2 linked regions of the Arabidopsis thaliana genome follow. The protein of the gene in region 1 binds, or shares a complex with, the protein of each later gene. Each region holds a gene or a part of one and is shown in the gene's direction. Other genes may lie near its edges.

Evidence for each region. The genes of interacting proteins can lie anywhere in the genome.
Region 2: AT1G11560 (region 1) and AT3G12587 share a complex: the UniProt entries of both Arabidopsis thaliana proteins name them as parts of the oligosaccharyltransferase (OST) complex.

What each region holds. Positions count from the first base shown.
Region 1 is NC_003070.9:3,878,181-3,885,408, forward strand, and holds AT1G11560 (Oligosaccharyltransferase complex/magnesium transporter family protein), read left to right. Parts: upstream 1-3,446; 5' UTR 3,447-3,607; coding exon 3,608-4,639; downstream 4,640-7,228. Other genes in the region: XTH8 (xyloglucan endotransglucosylase/hydrolase 8), read right to left, coding at 509-917, 1,328-1,530, 1,629-1,729, 1,902-2,106; NTL (NTF2-like protein), read left to right, coding at 5,037-5,423, 5,702-5,776; AT1G11572 (Plant thionin family protein), read left to right, coding at 6,275-6,544. UniProt on the Arabidopsis thaliana protein: Subunit of the oligosaccharyl transferase (OST) complex that catalyzes the initial transfer of a defined glycan (Glc(3)Man(9)GlcNAc(2) in eukaryotes) from the lipid carrier dolichol-pyrophosphate to an asparagine residue within an Asn-X-Ser/Thr consensus motif in nascent polypeptide chains, the first step in protein N-glycosylation.
Region 2 is NC_003074.8:3,993,810-3,999,314, reverse strand, and holds AT3G12587 (Oligosaccaryltransferase), read left to right. Parts: upstream 1-3,643; 5' UTR 3,644-3,877; intron 3,878-4,145; exon of another isoform or gene 4,146-4,218; intron 4,219-4,615; coding exon 4,616-4,729; 3' UTR 4,730-4,975; downstream 4,976-5,505. Other genes in the region: AT3G12590 (uncharacterized protein), read left to right, coding at 1-101, 309-506, 622-897, 1,017-1,634, 1,832-2,292, 2,390-2,450, 2,561-2,629, 2,768-2,842. UniProt on the Arabidopsis thaliana protein: Subunit of the oligosaccharyl transferase (OST) complex that catalyzes the initial transfer of a defined glycan (Glc(3)Man(9)GlcNAc(2) in eukaryotes) from the lipid carrier dolichol-pyrophosphate to an asparagine residue within an Asn-X-Ser/Thr consensus motif in nascent polypeptide chains, the first step in protein N-glycosylation.

The sequences.
Region 1 (7,228 bases):
TCACGATTGTGATGTAATGTAACCCACTTCCGTTGATTTCTTCAAAGAAATCAAAAGTTGTGGGTTCTTCTAGAGATGCTACTACTACAACGATCGATGGACGATTGTCATTGATGTTATCGAATGGTAAATCGGACAAAAGTTTCTGGATATGCTCTCTTATAATATCACAATCACAAATGCTATTTCTTTTCAATAAGGTATTTGGGCTTCATTAGTAGCTGTAGCTGAACCTTTTGTTTGTCACATGTCTTTACTCTTATGCTCATCCATGTTCGTTTATATTTTTGACCCACTGTTCTGTTCTGAGACCTTAAGTGTAAGAAGAATTCTCAAGTTAATATACATCTTAAAAAGCAGTTATGAAATATAGCCGACTAAATAAATAATTAATTAAATAAATAAACAGAGGATATAGTCCATAACAAAATAAGAAATGCCAAAAAAAAGAGAGTAAAATTATTACATAAACCATTTCCACTTTAATACACTCAAAACAAAATTGATTTTAAGCCCAAGGGCTAATGGAACACTCCCAAGGAAGAGTAGGGAACCTCTCACTGTCTTTGCAATAATCGTATACGACGAGATTACGCTGCACCCACGCATAATCCATCTTCTGTGTCTTGGACAAATGCCACGCGTCGTACTGATCCCACCAATTCTCTGTTGTGGTAGAGACGCATGCAGGGAATGGATCCTTCCAACGGCAGCCTTCGACGGCGAAGTCCTTGTAAGAAGAGACGAATGGAGCTTTTTTCCAGTCAGTCTTCTCCAGACCACCACGTGTAGCCCAATCGTCAGCGTTCCAAATGCTGGAGAACAAGTACATCGGCTTCTGGTTCGGGAAGAAGTCGTTGTTTGGTACCTTATCACTGTTCTTGTATACTCGAATTGGTACCCTATCCACGAAGAACCTGGTTTGGATTGGATTAAACCGGGTTATGCATTGTACCAATCGATAAAATTAGCTTTGATTGACCAATTCGGTTCGAGTTGGTCTAGTTTGAGTTCTTTAAAGTTTGGTTAAGATAGGCTTGCTTTGGTCGGTTTGAACTTTAAACCAGATTGGAATTTTTGTGTCGGTCGAAATTTGAATCTGCACCATTTAAGTTTTCTCAAAGCTAAACGTAAGAAAACAGGATTGAACCTATTGTGAAATTAATCTGTAAACTGAATTATGTTATTGTGAGTGGAATGTTGGTTCTAACTTCGAACCGATCATAAACCTAAGGTTCCGGTTTCTACCCAAAATTCCCGGTACAGTTCGTGGTATCTCTATATATGTAGCCAACTAACCATTAGCCAAGATCAAGAGAGGACTTACACAAGCTGGTGGTTATTCCAAAGAATTGAGTAGGTGTGATAATCCTTGGTCGGGTCGAACCAGAGGGAATGTCGCATCTCCCGATTCCCGGTTCCGTTCTTATACACATTGGTCTGAATAATGTAAGGCTGTCCGGTTCGGTTCCCTAGAAATTCGAAATCTATCTCGTCTCTCTCCGGTCCTGCCCCATTCTCCGAACACATCTGCTCAACCAAATTTAATCTAAAATAATTAATACAAAACAAAATCATTGGTTATCTTCTTTACAAAATTGAAACATTAAATAAGAACGACGGCTCACGTAGTAAGCGGTGACGACGCCGGCGGAGTCGCCTCCGACGAGCTTTAGCTTCATACTAAACCATCCGAATCTATACATGTGCTTTGTCTGAAATCCACATCCTGTTTTATTTTTTATCCAATCAGAATATTTAAACTTTCGATATAATAATCAAGAGACTAAGTTAAAAAATGTCATGTAGATTTAAGTAGGAACAGAGTAAGTATCAGTGTAATTTCGAAAGACTAGAACGGCATTGATCCTAAACCGGAAGCAAACTGGATTTGAACGTACCGGTGTCGTTATCTAAGGAAAGATTCCAGATCTCTCCATCATCGGAAGTCGTGAAGTGATTTTCAGACCACATAATGTTGAAATTATCTTCAAACGATTGTGTCGGTGTTGCTGCGATAGAGGACGACGCCATTAGAGCCGTCATGAACAAGAACAGAGCCGTCATGGCAGAACAGCTCGTTATGATCCTCCTTTCCGTCTCCATTGGTTGTCTCTACTTCGAATATTTCGAAGAGAGAGAGAGAGAGAGGTAATGCAATCTACACTTGTTCCGTGAGTGAGAAGAGTATAGAGCTTTCTTGCTTTTATTATAAAGACCGGGGAAATGACTGTTTTGACCATTAATAATTCTTTTAATATGCTATTGCGTTTAGACTTTTGATACGGTTTTTTTTCTAAGATTTTCATGTAATAATGATGTTTACGATAATTTGTAAAAGAAAGCAAAAAGGGTAAATGAAAAAGTTTAATTAAAGAAAACTAACAGTAAAACTCAATGATTTTTATGTTAATCAAGTGTAAACTGTTTGGTTATAATACACACGGTTTAGCTAATTAAAAGCCGACCGGTTTATTCATTAAGTTGCTGAGATAGGTCATTTGAACCATATTGATGAGCTAGCAAGGGTACTATAGGAAATATAGAAAACAACAGCAGAACATGGAGAATTGGATCTCCAGGCTGCCACCAAGTGGAAGTGGGATCCATAGAAATGTTCATGTAAAAGCAAAACCAAAAACATTATTTAACTCTGTACTTTAATTCTTTGGTTAATCTTCACTTAGTAAATCTGATATGGGAATATGTCTAACAAAACCCAAATAATATAGGCGAACATGCTTCGGAACATAATATTTTGTTCAACAAAAGAAAGAGTTTGCCTTGCCTCTCTCATATTTTGTTAGCCCAAGACAAGGCACGTGAAACAAGCACGTTATGAATAAGAAAGCAGGGAAATAATACACCTGGAGTTACTAAATTATTAGGTTGACAAAGATTAGTTTATTGGATTGTCTCTTGCATAATCCGGTATTCTTACATTTTTACATAATTACTATTTTTTGTATGGATATGAATGTTTCAGATCTAAGATTGTAGACTGAGGTTTATATAATACCACAAGTATATGCAACTCGACCTTGTTACTTTAGACTATAATAGAGTAGTATTAAGATTATGATAATGACAAAAATGATTTCTTATACATTAATAATACCATTTAAATGATTTACGAGCGATGAAATAAATATGCATGGTCTAGTTTTATGTAAACTCTCTAATCCATGTATGAGTCTCTCTTTTTTGTATTACTAAGTGGTTTCTCATATGTTTCCTGTAAAAGAATCTCAACTTGTCGGCATGTCGGTCCTAATAAGAGAAACCAGAAGTGATCATCAATTTTATTGTTAATTATAGAATGTTTAAGTTTCACATATCATACAACAAGACAGTTTGGCCGAGTGGTCTAAGGCGCCAGATTTAGGCTCTGGTCCGAAAGGGCGTGGGTTCAAATCCCACAGCTGTCAATTTCTTTTCCTTTTTTTCCCTTCTTTAAAACTAAACCCTCTAACTCATCAAGAAGGTTCAATCAAACCTATAAACACCTAGAATTTTGAACAGTTCTTCACTTCTCCAGTATTTCCCGGCAATTCCAGATCTCTCTATCTCCTTTCTTCTTCAAATCCAATCAGAGAGTGATCTAAAAATGGTGATTCAAACGAATCTCTCATATCGTTTCTTCATCTTAATTGTGTTTTTATTTACCCTAGCGAATCCAAAATCAGATTCAGATCTCAAAAACGAACTAGTCTCCCTCCGATCAACCGCCGAATCAGGCGTGATCTCCTTCAACAACGACGACGTTTCCAAATTCATAACCTCCGTATCCACTCCTAGACCTTACTCACTCATCATCTTCTTCGACGCCGTTCATCTCCACGGCAATAGCCAGCTACGTCTTCCAGAGTTCCGCCGCGAATTCAGACTCGTCTCCGCCACTTTCATCACCAACAACAACAATGAATCTAACGGCACAAAGCTCTTCTTCTGCGAGATCGAATCAACTCACTCCGAGGCTTCTTTCCGCCGCTTCGCCGTCGAGTCACTACCACACATTTCCCTCGTTAGCCCCACGACAGAGAATTTAACAGAATCAGATCAAATGGACGGTGGAGATTTCACTGGATTAGCCGAATCAATGGCAGAGTTCGTCGAACGTCAAACAAAACTCACCGTTTGTTCAATCCAACGACCACCACTCATATCAAAGACACAAATCGGAATCATCGTTGCTATAATCATAATCTCGACTCCGATTCTCATCAAGAAGATTCTAAAAGGAGAAACACTTCTCCATGACCATAGAATCTGGTTAGTTGGCGCGGTTTTCGTCTACTTCTTCAGCGTCTCGGGGACAATGCATAACATCATTAGAGAAATGCCAATGTATATCAAAGATTATGAAGATTCAAGTAAGTTTGTTTTCTTTATAGAAGAATCAGAGATGCAGCTTGGAGCAGAAGGTTTCTTTGTAGGGTTTTTGTATACTGTTGTTGGATTGCTTTTGGCGTTTGTTACTAATGTAGTTGTACGAGTCAAGAAACTCGATGAGCAAAGGATGGCTATGCTTTTGGCTCTGTCTATATCGTTTTGGGCTGTGAGGAAAGTTGTTTACTTGGATAATTGGAAGACTGGTTATGAAATTTACCCATATTGGCCATCGAGTTGGCGGGGATGAGTGATCTTCACGTAAGGTTAGTTTTTCAAGATTGTGGAACTGATTAGTTAGTGTTTTGGCTTTCAATACTTGAACATGCATATAGCCAAGTTTATAGTTTAAAGATTCAATAATTGCAGTTTAGGATTCACGAATTTGTGCTAACTAGAGGAATGATTGCTCGAAGACTTATAATGCTTATGGTGTTGCTTTGCATCCATTGAGAAAGAGTACTCTACCAAATAATCGTTGCTTTACTATGTGTGAAGGTTTGGAAAAAGATTGTATGCAATACTTGACCCACAAGAAACCTTCTTAAAAGTGAAAAGATTCTCTCTTTGTTCTTTTCTTCCAGCTTTGTTTAAAGTTAAGCATCTAATTCCTTCACACCCTAGAATTTAATTACTTAAGAGAGCTCATGTTAATATTACTACTGTTTGGTTTTGCTAAGAAAATCAATTTTATTTTGGAAATTTTGACTATGGCAGAGACAAATAAAGGAATTGAAGAAGAAGTGGCAAGTGCTTTTGTGAATCACTACTACCATCTCTTTGACAACGATCGATCATCGCTTTCTTCTCTCTACAATCCCACCTCTTTGCTCACTTTTGAAGGCCAAACGATCTACGGCGTGGATAACATCTCCAATAAGCTTAAACAACTTCCGTTCGATCAATGCCATCATTTGATCAGCACCGTCGATTCTCAGCCGTCTTCAATGGCCGGTGGATGTGGTGGAATCCTAGTTTTTGTGAGCGGTAGCATCCAATTACATGGAGAGGATCATCCTCTTAGGTTTAGCCAGGTCTATCTCTTATCTATTTGTAATCGATTCGAAGGTTTCATTTGGTTAAAACAATCTTAGGTTTAGCTTAATCGATTTGCATAAAACAAAATGTTATTTTCATTGTTTTCTAGTTTCCATCGGTTTATCTTGGACCCCCGCTATAACAATCTTCAATTTTTAATGTTGTTACTAAATTATATGAATCAAACTATAAGCTATATAGTATGAGCCTGTATTATTTTATTTTTGTTGGATTTTTAGCTGACTTGAATAATAACATTATTTATTAATTGCAGACGTTTCACTTGATTCCGGTTCTGCAAGGAAGTTTCTTCGTCCAAAATGAGATGTTTCGGCTCAACTATGGTTGAACTTATTATAACTTTAATGTTTGTAATCGATTGATCTCTCTTATACGCCGAAATCCAACTGATAATGTAGTCAAATATTTTATGAAAATCTATCGTTTATCTTGACTAGTAAAACATATTGACTTTTTCTGTTATTTTCATATATGTAAACAAGTTTCGAGTTATTGAAAAACATTCGGCAATTATAGATTGGAAAAATCCATACAATATAAGACTATTAGTGAACGTAGATTCACATGATCCACTTTTTTAAAAAAAGCCGAATAAGACTTTTCTCTGCTCTCATATAATCTCGTCCACTCAATAGTTATTAAAAATAGGGATATCTCTGTGTATTTTAAAAATAGTGAAAATTGACGAAAAAATCGAACAAATATGAGGCTACTACTATCTTTTGACTCTTGACCATTCTCTTTTACTCAAAAACATTTCCTTCTCTTCCACGAAACCATTTTTCTCTCTCTCCCTTTTCCTGATCAACTTCTCACGAACTACAATATGAAGAACCGGAGCAAAAACTTAGCCACCCTGAGTTTGATGATAATTACGTTATTGACATGGTCGGATATCGTAGTAGGACAAGAAGCACTACTAGGAAAGAAAGTATTGCCGCTATGCCACAGAGAATGTATGCCAATATGCATGAAAGTGATCGAAGCCACGCAAGACATTTGCGAACCTGCATGCCAATCTGGTTGTCTTCAGCTTCAAGGTAGAGGCACCGGACTTTCAGCTTCCGATCAAGGAGTCGATATGGTCATTGCATAAATTAATATCTTTACCGGAAAAAGAAATCAAGATTTTGATATTACCAACATAGTTGCTTGATGTCGTTCACATGAATAGATTGTAAAATAGGGTTTCATATTTTGTATGATAAATGCATCATCCAATCCCTCCAAAACTAAAACAAAATGTAGTTAATCTACAGAATCCGACATCGTATACAATTTTTGTTTTTATAATTCATGGGGACAAGAAGAAGATCCCTTATGTGTTCGTCTCTTTATCTCATGATCAATCCTAAGATCATTTTAATTTATTAAATAAAATTACAGGTTAGCTTACAAACAAACAGTATATATATTGATACAAATCCAACGTCAGAAGAATTCATAAATAAATATCGATCGAGTGAGAGACAGTTTATAGTTCTTCTGAATTATTTTTGCAACAAAAACATAACAAAAATTATTCGTCACAGGGGTTATGACATTTAGCAAAAAAAATTACTTTGTCATAACCAAGTTATCTTTATCTCCGTTGTTATTTTAAATTGAAAAAAATGGATGACATACTAGTAATCTAGTATTTTCATAATTTTCAATCAATATGTATTCATTGATCGTTTAGGATAATGTTCAATTCTGGAATTTTGAACAATCATATAGCTCGTTAAACACACACAGAAAACAAATGGCTAGTAAATAAAACGATATGTCCAAAATATTC
Region 2 (5,505 bases), on another chromosome or scaffold:
AGGAAGAATGTGTTTGGGCCTCTGCCCTCAGCTGCTTGCTCTATTTTATCTGTGATAGAGGCAAAATACGGAGAAACCAGCTAAATGGTCTTGACATAAGGGTACGTTAGTATTACGAGGCTGAATATAATCTTTGCCCTCTGCTATGTGGATTATTCCTTCTTTAATTCTCCTCCTATTTTCATTTGGATCTGTCCTTTCTCTTTGTTTTTAGACCTTCGTAACTATGATTTCTGTTTCCAGCTGCATGTTACCATTTCTCAGCCAAGTTGTACTTGCTGATGAGCCAGTTACTTTCCTTGAATCAGGTTATAAAAGCTCTTCTGGGAACTAGCAAAAGGAATTCTTGGTCAGAAGTTGTTCATTCCAAGCTTATTTGTATCATGACGAATATGTTTTATCAATCTCCAGAACCAGAAGGCTCTAACAAAGCAATTTCAAGTGCCTCAAATTTTCTTATCGACCAGGTCGATCTGATTGGTGGTGTAGAATACATTTTCTTTGAGGTACTAAGAAAATATAGTTTATTAGACTGAATGATCTTTCTAAACATTATCCAAATAGACACTTCGATCCCCAATGGTTTTCTAGCATATTAAGGGATTCATTTTATTGGTACAGTACTCTTTGGCAACCACTAGAGAGGAAAGAAGAAATCTCTACTCGGTTTTATTTGACTATGTGCTGCATCAAATTAATGAGGCATGCTCATCTGCTGGTCTTTCTGAGTACACTGATGATGAGATTCAACCTTTGGCTGTTCGGCTTGCTCTTGCTGATGCACCTGAAGCTTTCTACATTTCTGTTAAGCTTGGTGTTGAAGGCATAGGAGAAATCCTGCGAAGATCAATTGCTGCAGCATTGTCTGGGTTCAGCAACAGCGAACGACTTAACCAGGTAGGTTTAAACTTGTAGAATATGTTGCAAATGATCTTCTGAGGATATCTGGAAAAAAAAACTTAAATTGCTTGTCAGTCAAAGCTCTTTTCCAACTCTTTAATTTTTCCTTCTTGCAGCTTTTGGCAAATATAACAGAAAAGTTTGACACAATAATAGGTTCGTTTACTCACCTGGACAAAGAGTTCCTGCATCTCAAACAGATTACCAAATCTTCCAAGTTCATGGAAAGCATTTTAGATTTAAGAAACGATATAAGCATGTCCGTGAATCTAGCTTGGGCTACTTTGCACTCTCTTCTTCATTCAGAAAGGACCACATACCGTCAAAATGGGTATATCTGGTTGGGGGATCTTCTGATTGCAGAAATTAGTGAAGAGAGCGGTGGAAGTATATGGCTGAGCATAAAAGATCTGCAACAAAAGATTGCCCATTGTGGTACCTCAGACTCTCTGGTTACTTCTGATGTACCTATTTCCATACATCTCCTATGTGGACTCTTGAAGTCAAGGAACAGTGTTATCAGATGGGGTTTCCTATTTATTCTGGAGAGGCTACTTATGCGCTCCAAGTTCTTACTAGACGAGAATGAGACCCAACGATCAACTGGTGGAGTTGCTACTCAGGACCATAAAGACAAACGACTAGAGAAAGCAAATGCTGTTATAGACATAATGAGCAGTGCTTTGTCTTTGATGGCACAAATAAATGAAACTGACCGGATTAACATCTTAAAGGTACATTCCTTAGAACCTTTCTGTTTGTCAAATATCCTACCAAAAGCCACTCTAAAGCTTGCTGATATATATAGTAACTGCTGTTCTATATGTCGAATAATTGGCGTAGAAGATAACTCTGTCTATACCTCTTATTGGAATTTTCACCCAGATGAAGTTAAATTTCACTTGTGTCTTTCTCTGTTGTTTCCAAGCAGATGTGTGACATTCTTTTCTCGCAATTGTGCTTGAAAGTTTTGTCTACTGACGAGGATGCAGTCCCCAATTCTGCGGATAGGAATAGCAAATTTGATACTTCTCATCGTAACAGCTATAAAGAAAGTGTGGATGAAGGTGACACCAAGCCTCGGTACAATAACGTCTCTGTTTCAACGTGTGAGACAGCGTCAATGGCAGCGATGCTTCTTCGTGGACAGGCCATTGTTCCTATGCAGCTGGTTGCGCGTGTGCCAGCAGCTTTGTTTTATTGGCCACTGATTCAACTAGCAGGTGCAGCAACTGACAACATTGCACTTGGTGTCGCCGTTGGAAGCAAAGGTAGAGGAAATATTCCAGGGGCAACCTCTGATATTCGAGCCACCCTGCTATTACTTCTGATTGGTAAATGCACCGCCGATACAGTTGCTTTTCAAGAAGTTGGCGGAGAGGAGTTCTTTAGGTAATTGATTGACTTTTCCATGCTTCCAAACCATAGATGATTTATGATTTATCTGTGCAACATGTTTCATGGCATTAACCTATGTTTATCTATGCAGGGAACTCCTGGATGATACTGATTCAAGGGTGGCTTATTACTCTTCAGCATTTCTTCTGAAGGCAAGAGGATTTTTCAAATTCACCATTTTGATTTTGGAAAGACATCATTGAAAGAATAATAAGTTTCCAAATATTTTTTGGCTCACCGGTTAAAATTTGGATTATTTCAGAGGATGATGACGGAGGAACCAGAGAAATACCAAAACATGCTTCAGAAGCTTGTCTTTAAGGCTCAGCAGGTATTGCTATCGTCATAATTCAGGGTGTAGATGCGTAGAACCGGAAATATCAAAGAGAACCTCAAAATCAAAGAGCTTTCTTTGTTTTGTTTCATGTATAATAATGATCCACATTGATTGTATTCTTGTTTTGTGCAGAGCAATAATGAGAAACTGCTAGAGAATCCATATCTGCAGATGTGTGGTATACTTCAGCTATCAAACGAGCTCTGAACTCGCGGCTCTCATAAGCCTCCAGTTTCTTATATATGGCTTATGTAAGTTCATCAGTTTCAGAGAATCTTAGAGAGTTACTTTAGCACCACCCTAATTATCCGCTTCCTGCCGTGAAAAGAGATGGAAGAGAATTTAGTGAAAGAAAATGACAATTCATAGAATACTGGACTCGTAGCTGAAAGTAGCAAGCAGGGGAGTCGGCAAGTCAAAATTCAGATATGGCTACGTGTGTGACATCACTTTGGCTATCTTGCACTCTTGTGATATTAAATCCTTCCTGAATTTTGGTTGAGATCTGAAGGTTCTGAAGAAAGGTGTTGATAGTAAAGAGTTGCCGAAGGGATCAACAGAAATGTGAAATAACTCGGTCCCGCCTTCTCCTTTTTCTGCGGGAATGGTGCGGCTTTAAGGAACTTACAGAAACAGTGGGTTGGTTTCTGATAATTGCCGGCATGTCATTTTTTGGGCTAACAAACTGAAGCTTTTTTTTCTCTTAGCTGTGTGTGTAAAACAAATCATGAACCTAGGCTGCAGCTCTAGAAATTTTATTTTTCTTGGAGCTCTGCTTTTGTACAGTCAGGAACAAAACCAATTAGGAGGATTGTGTTGTGTAGAGAACTAGAGATAGAGGCTTTGGGCCTTTTGGGTGTCGAATGTTTTGCTTTTAAAATGGTTATGTGATTAGTGTGACTGAACCTAACCGGTGCGTTTGTAATATAAATTCTTGTCATTATTTTGGCTGCCACTATCTGATCTGAGAAGCCACAAGGAGTTGAAGTTTACAGTTGTTAAAATCAATTTGACAAACAAAAAATCAAGAGAGAAACATACAATTACCAATTTGATCCACAGATAAATCAATTGTTAAAAAGTAATTAAATACTACTATTGGGCCAGGCCTGCAAAATAAAGACCCTCAGACATCGAAACCCTGAGAGTGAGATCCAATACTTGTTCTGTTCTGCAAATCGCTTCTGGTCCCTGGAGTCTGGAGATCTCATCCTTTCCCACCGATTCCGTCCCGATAAAACGGTAAATCTCGCTCAATTTTAAAACTATGTATATATATGCATTTCTTCTTGAGTGATCTTCTGATTCGACGACAAGTGTGTTTGATTTATGATCTGGTTAGTCTTAGACTCTTAGCTGTTCTTCTCGCGATAGAGATTGTCTCTGTGGCGGCCATCTGTGTGTGATGGTCCTTTGAATCCGTCTCTGTCGACGAGAACTGCCAAATTCTCTTGTCGGATTGTGTCACGTTTTAGGTTTTTACATAAATTCTCAACTTGTTCTCCAATGTGATCCCATAGCGGAGTGGATATCGCGTTAGACTCCGAATCTAAAGGTCGTGGGTTCGATTCCCACTGGGATCATCCCATTTTTTTGGTCTTTTTTTTTGTTGGTTATTAATTATTACTATCAATCCGTTCTTTTAGCAGTGATCAAGCGAATTTAGGTCTGGCTCTGCCTCTGGCTCTAGTTGAGTTTAGGGAGCTGCTCCTTGTTGTTTGCCATTATGGTTTCTCTACTTTGGAGTCAACTTTGCAATGTTACCCTTGTAGTCTCTTCTGTGGACTTTGTATTTGGTGAAATTGAAAAGTTTAGTAGAAATCTGGCTGCGCCAAAGATGATAGAGACTCTAATGGGATCCTTATTCGAACATTTTGCTGAACTGATTAGATACAATAAGGCAACACTGATTCCATTACTGTTAGTCTGTTACTACAAAAAGAATTGTTGCTCAAGTATTGTTTGTGTTGGTTGGTGCAGATGATCGATGATCAGGACTTGGGGTTTATTGCCAACTTTCTTGGCATCTTCATCTTCGCATTGGTAATTGCTTATCACTACGTAACTGCTGATCCCAAATACGAAGCCACTTGAGTGATGATATTTTAGAATGATGTAAGGCTTTTTAGTTTATACTAGTATTATCTGTGTTTCAAACTGAGAAGAGATAATAACAGTCTTTGTTGAGATGATAATGTTTTCAAGATGTTCCTAATCCATTTCACATCTTCTCAATTTTATATGCATGTGCATATATATGTTCCCTCCAATTATGTTGTTCGAATGTTTGATGAAACTTTGAATTTTTTTCTTTAAGCAAAAAAAAATCTCAAACACCAAAGCGAGGAGTCATTCTAGTTCAGTTTTGAGTCATTCTAGTTATTTTTACAAAGTTTTGAGTCAAATTGGGTAAATTTTTTGGTTATTTTGGTCATAAAAATAACTAGATTATCTCTTATATCTTATGAGTTAATTTGGTAAATAAACCATTTATTTGGGTCAAACTATTTTTTTCCCCATATATATATCCAATCAATAATAAATTCATAATATATTTCATTAACGCGATTGAAATACTAGTAATTAATTGAGGACTAAAGAAAAAGTAATTTCCTTTTTATCTTTAAAATGTGCAAAAAAAACAAAAATGTTAATTGGGTGATGAAATAACTTGTTTTCAAAACGGGAGTTACTATTTGACAATTTAAAAAAGACCCATCTCGAAGGAGCTAGAAGCGATAACAAAATAAAAAGGAAACAATAGTAATTAGATGGCGCAAAAATAAGATCCAACGGCTGAGATCTTTACTCGTGAACGTTCTCGAAAGCTCTTTGCCGACCCACTCTTCATTCATATATAAACAAACACC